Linked DNA regions of Xenopus tropicalis. The protein of the gene in region 1 purifies or fractionates together with the protein of each later gene. This does not show direct contact. Links are inferred from orthologs where the notes say so. Each region holds a gene or a part of one and is shown on either strand. Other genes may lie near its edges.

What was found.
Region 2: the proteins of med4 (region 1) and arhgef7 purify together in Homo sapiens (affinity purification with mass spectrometry; 3 studies listed by BioGRID and IntAct, with this or other methods). This does not show direct contact. The link is inferred for Xenopus tropicalis from reciprocal best matches to the Homo sapiens genes MED4 and ARHGEF7.

Annotation. Positions count from the first base shown.
Region 1 is NC_030678.2:134,874,021-134,878,746, forward strand, and holds part of med4 (mediator of RNA polymerase II transcription subunit 4), read right to left. Parts: intron 3,768-4,726; coding exon 3,701-3,767; intron 1,972-3,700; coding exon 1,801-1,971; intron 233-1,800; coding exon 175-232; intron 1-174. UniProt on the Homo sapiens protein: Component of the Mediator complex, a coactivator involved in the regulated transcription of nearly all RNA polymerase II-dependent genes.
Region 2 is NC_030678.2:116,927,617-116,932,342, reverse strand, and holds part of arhgef7 (rho guanine nucleotide exchange factor 7), read left to right. Parts: intron 1-3,105; coding exon 3,106-3,244; intron 3,245-4,550; coding exon 4,551-4,610; intron 4,611-4,726. UniProt on the Homo sapiens protein: Acts as a RAC1 guanine nucleotide exchange factor (GEF) and can induce membrane ruffling. Functions in cell migration, attachment and cell spreading. Promotes targeting of RAC1 to focal adhesions. May function as a positive regulator of apoptosis.

The DNA of each region.
Region 1 (4,726 bases):
GCCAGTCACTATTTGGTGGGCTGGGGAGGGGGGAAGCAGTTTGGAATCTGTGTACTTGAAATGCCAGTGCCTATTTTGAACCTCAGTGGGGGCCTATGTATGTTATATTGTTTTTTAGAATAATTCCTTGTGCAAAACTATGCCATTAGTTTCATGAAAATCTTCCACACTCACCCTTCCTTGCTTTATCTATTGATTTCAGTTTTTCCTTAGCTTGGTAGACAGCTGTTGCCTTAGGATAAAAGAAATAACACAATTTTAATTAAACACACTTTTTACAGTATTCTAATGAATCTAGGTATTCATATATAACAGAATATGAAAAGCATAACTCAGTACATTGAAAATCTAGTACAGGCATGACTGTAAGCTCTATGAGACAAGGACCTCTTGTCTCTGACACTTAGGGCTCTGGCACACGGGGGAGATTAGTCGCCCGCGATTAACTACCTGTTCGCGGGCGACTAATCTCCCCCGTGTGCCAGAGCCCTTAGCTCTTAGTCTGTACTGCAACTGTCCTATGTATTTGTTATTGTAAATACCCCTATTTGTTCTATTCATTTATTGTTCAGTGAAAAGTAGCACTGTATAAATAAAATTATACGAGGCAAAGAGAGGAGGTTAAAATTCCCACCAAGTGCTGAAGGTTGTAGTTCAACAACATCTGAAAGCCCTGTGTTTGACATCCACTAATATAGATGACCCCAACATTCAAAAAGTGATAACATTAGTAAAAGAAGCTTTATTATCCAAATACATGTATTTTTATTCTAAAGAAAGCTAACTTAGTGTTCCTTAGTCACAGCAATTAGTTTAGATAAGCTCCAAACAAAAACTGGTTTATATTGTCTGCATTCCTGACACTGACTTCTGAAACAATATAGCAGAAGCCAACTGAAGCCTGGACCTAAAAAATAAATGACTCTTGATACATTTTAAGAATCAGACCCAAAGAACAGCAAGAAATAAACAAATACAACATTCACCTGCAATAAATATTTGTAAAACCTTTATTTAATTAATTTATATTTTAATTGCTTAAATTACATTTCCTTTTGTTTTGTAAAAACAGTTTTTGGGTAGAGAATCCCTCTGCTAGCTCCAATTAAACAGTGGTTTTAATGCCATGTTGTTATGATAAGTGGTGGAACACGTGATTACTTTTCAGCTTAGGACCTGAACTAAATTTAGTTTTTAAAATGAGAACGTATATACTTAACTACCCCTTTACTGACACCTTGTGGAAACGTGCAGTTAGATTAGTACTGTATTTTCCCCAGATTGCATGGCATTATTTACCAATTTACCTTAGTAAGGAGATTTTTATCCTTGAAAATGCACTTGTCATTCTGATAATATGACACCATATTCCAGGATGGAAAGAGGCATAAATGAATTATTTAAATAAGAAAAAATAACACAGAATCAAAATTTAAATTGTTGCCGTGGTATCTCAAAGTGAGTAGAGAACTCTCTTGCATTGTGGATTACTGGATTGTCTGCTGTGGAGTTATTAATAAAAGTGTTGTGTCAGTCCCCTAATAGCTGTTGCATTGCTAATACATAGGAAAAAGTACTTTTGGTTCAAGACAACCCATTTCCTGAAGCAAAGTATAGCAACACTGGGGACCAAGATACCTAAAAAAACAATACAATAATTATTACTCAGTTAGGAATAAGATTATTACTCAGTTAGGAATAAGCACGGAGGTAAAAATTTCTACTCAGAATCAACTCATGCTTGTTCCATATAAGCAGACGACAAAAAGCTGCCAGCAGTTGTTTATTTCTAGAGCTTACCAATATGTGTTCGGCTTCCTTCAGCTGTTTCTGTAGTTGCTGGATATCACTGTCCCTCTTCTCCACCTCTTTTTCTAAAACCTGCATTTCTTGGTGAATCTTCCCCTGGCTTAATGCCACTTTCATTAGTTCTTGGAATTCCCCATCCTTCTGAATTAGTAACTCTAAAATCTGACAAAAACAGACAGAATTGGGTACTGTGATAAGTTACCTGAGAGAGATAGGGTAATGCAAGGATGAACAACTAACTACTAAAAAATGCATTTGCCTGTTATGTAATACACATCGTAAACAATGTATTTTACCAAATAAATGGGGGAATGTAATAAACAGTCTCAAGTCTGCATTTTGTCTAGTAACCCAGAGCAACCAGTCAACAGATAGCAGATATTTACTGGTCAGTGGTATGAAAGCATCTGATTGGTTGCAGTTGGTTACTAGGTGTGGGCAAACTTTAGACCTTTTATTGCATTACCTCTTAAGTTGCTAATTTGTAACTTCATATATTTTATTTATAATATAATTATATATTATTATAATTTTCATTTATAACATTGCTTCTGATAATACTTGCTATCTACCAGGTCAGTAAATTTTATTTCCATGCTGTGTATCTACTAAAATCATGAACAGAATCACAGAATGTAACTACTCCGTAAGACTGCCTTGTCATACACAACAGAGCATGTCTCAGTACATACTTTCTGCTGCTGCTCCTCCTCTATCTAGACTTCACACACTGTACCACAGAAGGCACTCTAATCCAGCAGTTTGCAGTGCCTTACCTGAATTTCCTACCAACCCTTCTATTCTTGCACTCGTTCACAGACCAGTACAGCAGAGTTCTGCATTTAGTACTATCCAGGAGGAATGTACCCCCCGACAGCATGCTCAGTTACCTGCCCTCTGAACCTAGCTATATTTCAGCAGAGGATTTGTGTGAGGAATACTATTAACTAATGTATTTTAAAACAGCATTGGTACCCTTGATAGTATTCCTTTAAATAAGGGATGCCCACATAACAGCTATTCCTCCTTCATGGCAAATATCTGCATTGTGGGCACTAAGGAAGGGGGGGGGGAGATTGGGGGGTTTAACACATTATACAGCAGGCTTATTTCAGTGGGGCATGCAGTAAATAGTAAGCCATAATACAAATAAAAGTTACATTTGCTGGGCACTGTTGCCATTTAAAAGGAGAGCAAAAAAGCCATTACCATAGCTCACTGCACAGAGGGCAGACAGAGTCAAATGCAACCTATTGGTGTCTATCAAATACTGCTGGGGTTGTTATATCCAACTAGGATGAGGAGGCACAGTATCTTTCCTCTTGCCACATAGATGGATTATTGCCACATTTTGAATTGAAAAGAAAGAATACCTATAGATTTAGATGAAAGTATAAGCTATTTAGATAGTAAGCTCTTGTGAGCAGGGCTGTCAAATCCTATTTCATTCGATAACTTGTTTGTTAAATTATTATAAGACCCCCCCCCCCATTTGTTATAATGTTTAATAATAGAATTATGTTATCATTGCACTTTATAAATGAATAATTATTATCATGATGATGCTTAATTTTATGGTATATATACAACTAAAAATAGGGAGAGAAGTCGACAGGCTCAAATGATTATTTTTACTGATAAAAAAGGAATTACAACTTTTCAAATATAAATCATATTTATCATATACAGTTAGATCATATTTCATCAATATGTAAACACTGCAAATTGTCCTTTATCTAGTCATATCCCTTTGACTACATCAAGGCTAGCAATATGTCAATTGCATATAAACGATGTAACATATGTAAAATTAATAGTAATGCAATCAACTGTTTTGTAGTTATATTCATTCTATAATCTGTAAATCAAAACTGCATATCTACAGACTCACTTGGTTCTCTTCACCAGGTTGGCTGAGCTTCTGGTTCCTTGAAAGTGCAAGCATTTCAATAAGTTCTCTGGAACAATATCAACAGGTTTCACATCAGTAGATGCTTTAAGTTAATTCTGAAGTATTCTGCTAAAGATAAGTGGGTGTTAACTGAAACCAGATATACACACCTGATTGCATAGACTGAAAGAAAACCATGACCGTCAACCCCTTTCTTACTTTGTTCCACTGTGTAGTGATGGATTCTGGTAATTGACGTCCTCCTGCTTTCCAAAGAATCTGTGCACCACTCACAATGGAAAGTAGGGACTTTCTAGTCCCAGAATGCTTCACTGCACAATGGAACTAAGTAAGGTAGGGGTTGCATTATGATGCGAGACTGGATTTTCTAACCTGGCCGACCGATAGCTGGCCAATTTCAGGCCAGCTATCGGTCGGCCAGCCCACTCGTTTCTGCCCCTACACGGGCAGATAAGCTGCCGAGTCGGTCCAAGGGACCGATATCGGCAGCTTCTATCGGCCCGTGTATGGGGGCCTTAAGTGGGGTTTGGAAATGATTTTATACAAGTCAAGATAGATTATCATGGTTTCCTTTCAATCTGTGGAATCAGGTATGTGTAAAAAAATATATATTTCTGAAAGTTTGGATAGTGTTTATGCACATTTTTTACATAACCCAACTAAATGACTTCATGTCCAAAATAGGGGAAGAAACCAGGGGTAAACCTGCCAGTTTCCAGTCATAAAAAGACCCCAAATATAAGAGGATCTAACAGCCAGACAAAATATTTGACTTCCAAAATTGTGGTTTCCTGTGTCAAATGATAGCTTAAAGAAGAATGAAAGTTAAAAATCACTGGGGGTGCCAAATGTTAAGCAGCACCCAGTGATGATAATCACTTGCCTGATACCATGGGCTGGTGCTCCTGTGTGTGAAAAACTGTTCTGGCCTGAGGTCTGATATCTGTAGGAGCACCACATCATCATCTTCCATTTCTTCGTCCTTCTTGTTGGCCCCTGGCCAGT
Region 2 (4,726 bases), about 18 Mb from region 1:
CTGATTCCCCATCCATTGTACTAGGTGACTTACCTGTTAACAATCCTAATGCCCCTGCTGTCTCTAAACTCCTTTCACTAACATCCTCCTTTGGGTTATCTCTGTGCTTTGATTCCCCCTCCCCCTCTCACTCCAATGGAAACTCCCTGGATCTTATATTTACGAAATGTTGTTCTATCTCAAACTTCACTAACTCCCCTTTTCCCCCTCTCTGATCACAATAACTCTCGCTAACTCCCTCTACACCCTCTGCTGTCCCCCAAACATGCACATGCACCGAGACCTGCAATCCCTAAACACGTCACACCTCTCTTCTTCCTTTGACTTTCTTCATTCTAACATCCTAACTGTCTCTTGTCCTAAGCAGGCTACCTCTGTCTACTACAGCACACTCGCCACTGCCCTTAATGAGCTTGCTCCTGCCAAGACAAAATGCATGAGGCCCAAACCACTCCAACCCTGGCACACTGCTCGTACACTTGAGTGCCACTGGCGCAAATCAAGATCAGAATCAGATTTCTGCAGCTACAAATCTGCTCTGCTCTCCTATAATATCACCCTCTGCCAAGCTAAACAAACCTACTTCACTGCACTCATTAACTCCCTCTCTAAAAAACCTTCTCTACCTTTAACTCTGCTGTCCCCTTCTCCACCTCCTCCGTGTGCTACGGTCACTGCTCAACCCATTGCAGAGCACTTTAAAAATAAAATTGACACCATCCGTAGTGACATTGCACAACTTAATACCCATAACCATTCCCCTCCCTCTCTACATGCTACCCAGTCTCTTCTTGGCTCCTTCTCCCCAGTGACTGAAGAGGAAGTCTCAAAACTTTTGGCTTCCCCTCACCTTACTACCTGCCCGCTTGATCCCATTCCTACCAAACTTTTACGCAATGCCAACCCCTGTCTTATCAAAGCCTTAACTCATCTATTCGATCTCTCGCTCTCTACTGGAATCTTTCCATCCCAACTAAAACATGCACTTGTAACCCCTATTCTGAAAAAACCCTCCCTTGATCCCTCCAATCCTACTAACCTCCGACCTATCTCTCTGCTCCTGTTCATCTCCAAACTGGTCGAGCGCCTAGTTTACAACCGACTATTCCTCTCTGACAACAACCTCCTGGATCCCCTACAGTGTGGTTTTAGACTAACAGATGACCTCCTATCGGCTAATACCAAAAAACACTACTCGCTACTAATACTTCTCGATCTCTCTGCTGCTTTTGACACTGTGGATCACCCTCTTCTCCTCCAGTCTCTCCTCTCTTGGCCTTCGTGACACTGCCTTATCCTGGTTTTCATCTTATCTCTCAGATCGATCCTTCAGTGTCTCTAAAGGCCCCCATACACGGGCCGACTATAGGTGCCGATATCGGTCTCTTGGACCGATTCGGCAGCTAATCAGCCCGTGTATGGGCAGAACAGAGCGGCCTGGCCGACCGAGATCTGGCCTGAAATTGGATTGGGGACCGAATCGGCTCGTTGATGCGGTCCCCGAACCGACTGCCCCATAACCTCAAATGTAATCCGATCGTTGCTACCCGATATCGCCCACCTGTAGGTGGGGATATCGGGTGAAGATCCGCTCGCTTGGCTACATCGCCAAGCGAGCGGATCTTATAGTGTATGGGCACCTTTACAATGGGGAATCATCTTCTCCATTGCCTCTTTCTGTCGGGGTTCCTCAAGGCTCTGTCCTGAGCCCCTTACTATTTTCTCTCTATACCTCCTCAGTTGGCAAATTAATCAATTCTTTTGGCTTTCAGTACCACCTCTATGCTGACTATACTCAGATCTATCTTTCCTCTCCTGATCTCAACCCAGAGCTTCTAACTCGCGTCTCTTCCTGCCTGTCCGCTATCTCCACTTGGATGTCCCAACGTTAACTTAAATTAAAACCTCTCTAAGACTGAATTGGTTCTCTTTCCCCCATCCAATGCCCACGTTGTTCCTGAGGTATCTATAAAGGTTAACAATTCCACCATCACCCCATTTTTCCAGGCCCGTAGCCTTGGGGTTATCCTTGACTCTGCCCTGTCTTTCACTCCTCATATCCAGTCACTTATCAAATCATGTCACTTTCACCTAAGAAATATTTCCAAAATACGATCATTTATCACCCAAGATGCTGCCAAAATTCTTATTCACTCTCTTATAATAACTCGCCTGGACTACTGTAACTCCCTATTAATTGGCCTTCCCCTCCAAAGACTGTCCCCTCTCCAGTCCATAATGAATACTGCTGCCAGGCTCATACACCTCTCCAACCGCTCCTCCTCTGCCATGCCACTCTGCCAAGCCCTGCACTGGCTTCCCCTACCATCCAGGATAAAATTCAAACTAATGAATCTCACATACAAAGCAGTTCATAACTCTGCCCCAACCTACATCTCTGAACTTATCTCTAGGTACCATCCAACCCGCTTGTTGCGCTCCTCTACTGACCTGCTCCTCAACTCCTCTCTCATTCCCTCCTCACACACTCGCATTCAAGATTTTGCAAGGGCTGCCCCCCTTCTCTGGAATTTGCTCCCACAAATCAGACTTTCTCCCAATATCTCTGCCTTCAAGAGATCTCTAAAAACGCATTTATTTAGAGAAGCTTACCCTAATCTTGTTTAAAATAACCTCAGTGTGCTGCTAAAAGCAATAACCTGTGCCACACGTCTCACAACCCTTTCTCCTTGTAGATTGTAAGCTCTTTTGGGCAGGGCTCTCTTCACCTCTTGTATCGGTTATTGATTGCTTTATATGTTACTCTGTATGTCCAATGTATGAAACCCACTTATTGTACAGCGCTGCGGAATATGTTGGTGCTTTATAAATAAATGTTAATAATAATATACTGCATATTTATCTCAATTGTCAATCTAATAAACAAGGAGATTGTTGAAGCAGACTAAGACATTTTCAGATTCCAGTTGAGGAGTGCACTCCATACATCAGAAACATACTCCAGGAGAAGTTTTTTCTTCTCTTTGGTGCTCTTCTTTAAGAAAGTTACTTAATGCTTTATACATACAGTGTTCTACTTTATATGCAGTTAACAGTAGTTATGATGCACACTGATTGCTTCTCTTATTATTATTCTTTTGATAGTGAGGAACTTGGTGAATTCATGGAAATGAAAGGTGCCAACAGCCCAGGGATCCTTGTACTGACAACAGGTCTTAGTAAGCCATTTATGCGTCTGGACAAATACCCAACACTGCTAAAAGAGTTAGAACGACATATGGAGGTATTTTAGGAATTTTCTTTTATTTGCCAATCAGAATGACTTGTATATTGTAAACACAAGCACAATTGTTTTCATTGTGTTTTTGCAATAATAATGCTTTGTTTGTGGATCACACTGCAAATATTCCTTTATCACATTATTTAATATCAGGCATGTTTGTAGTATTCTGTGTTGTTTTGTGCAGCTTGCACTAAAAAGGTATTAGATGCAGTATGTCCTCTAGGATAAATCCAACACCAAAGTGCGCATTAACATAATGCATCACGGTACTGTAAGGAACATTACTCTGATTGATATATAAAACATTTAAGGAAATGATTTCTGCTGACTGAATTTCAATAAAATATATAACATTTTAAAAAGTATAAATCTAAAAATGGTTAGAATTGTACTTTCATGTTCATCTGATTGGTCTCTACTATTGATTGTGGGCTTCCCTTTTATAAATCAAACAAATCTAGAATGCAGTTGCCCTGGACCGTCATAATTGATTGTCAGTACACTTCTCTTTTAAGTTTTGCACATTTTGCTTCACTGTTGCATAAATAGAAAAGTTAGAGGCGCAATACCATTGCCAAGTTAAAGGAAAAAAGTAAGTTTATCTTTGATTTCTGTGGCCTTACTACTGTATGTGCCATGTGAAAAGAGAGTGTCAGACTGATTTTATTCAGTGAATCTTCAGTGGCTATGACTAGAGCCTCACTGTTCAGGCATATCTGTTCTCTGTTTATATGAGAAATGACTGCACTTGTATTGATCTGTTAATTTTTATTGGGGTGACAGGTAAAACACCAGTATTTACCAAGAACATTTCAACTTCCTTCCTAGTGGGTAAAGAAAGGCAATTTGAATATACAAAGTCCATGGTCCTTCCAGTTTGCCTTCTTTCTAATTATTAAGGGCCAACCACTTGATTGATCAAACTCTACTTGATTGACTGAAGTAATGCAGAATATAAAACTGGCTAGAGGAGTACTGTGTCTGATTAATCACAGCAGCTATGTTGTTCTTTGTATTGCAATATAGTTCCCTCTAGGTGGGGGTGTCGACAGTTGGTTATGGGGTGGGGCATTATATTATTGGGGTCATTGACAAGATGTAAATTGAACTCTTCTTACCAAGCACTACTCCCTGGGTTATCTTATAGCCTGTACAAAGATTCCATACATGTATTCTTGCGTAAGTATTTATCTGCTTTGAGCAAACATTTGTGCTGAAGATTTGAGGGTGCTGTGGCCCTTTATGCTTTTTTACTGCTTGTCTGAGAAAAAAGTATGATGTTTATTTTTGTACCTGTTTGTTTCAGGACTATCACCCAGATCGACCAGATATCCAGAAGTCTATGACTGCATTTAAGAATCTCTCTGTAAGATAAAATCATCTATATATTTAGGGAAAGAGTCAGGCTTTGAATGTATACCATGTGTTTAGTTTACATTTATTTTTATTTTGGTGATATGATGTACACTGGACTTGTTCTTG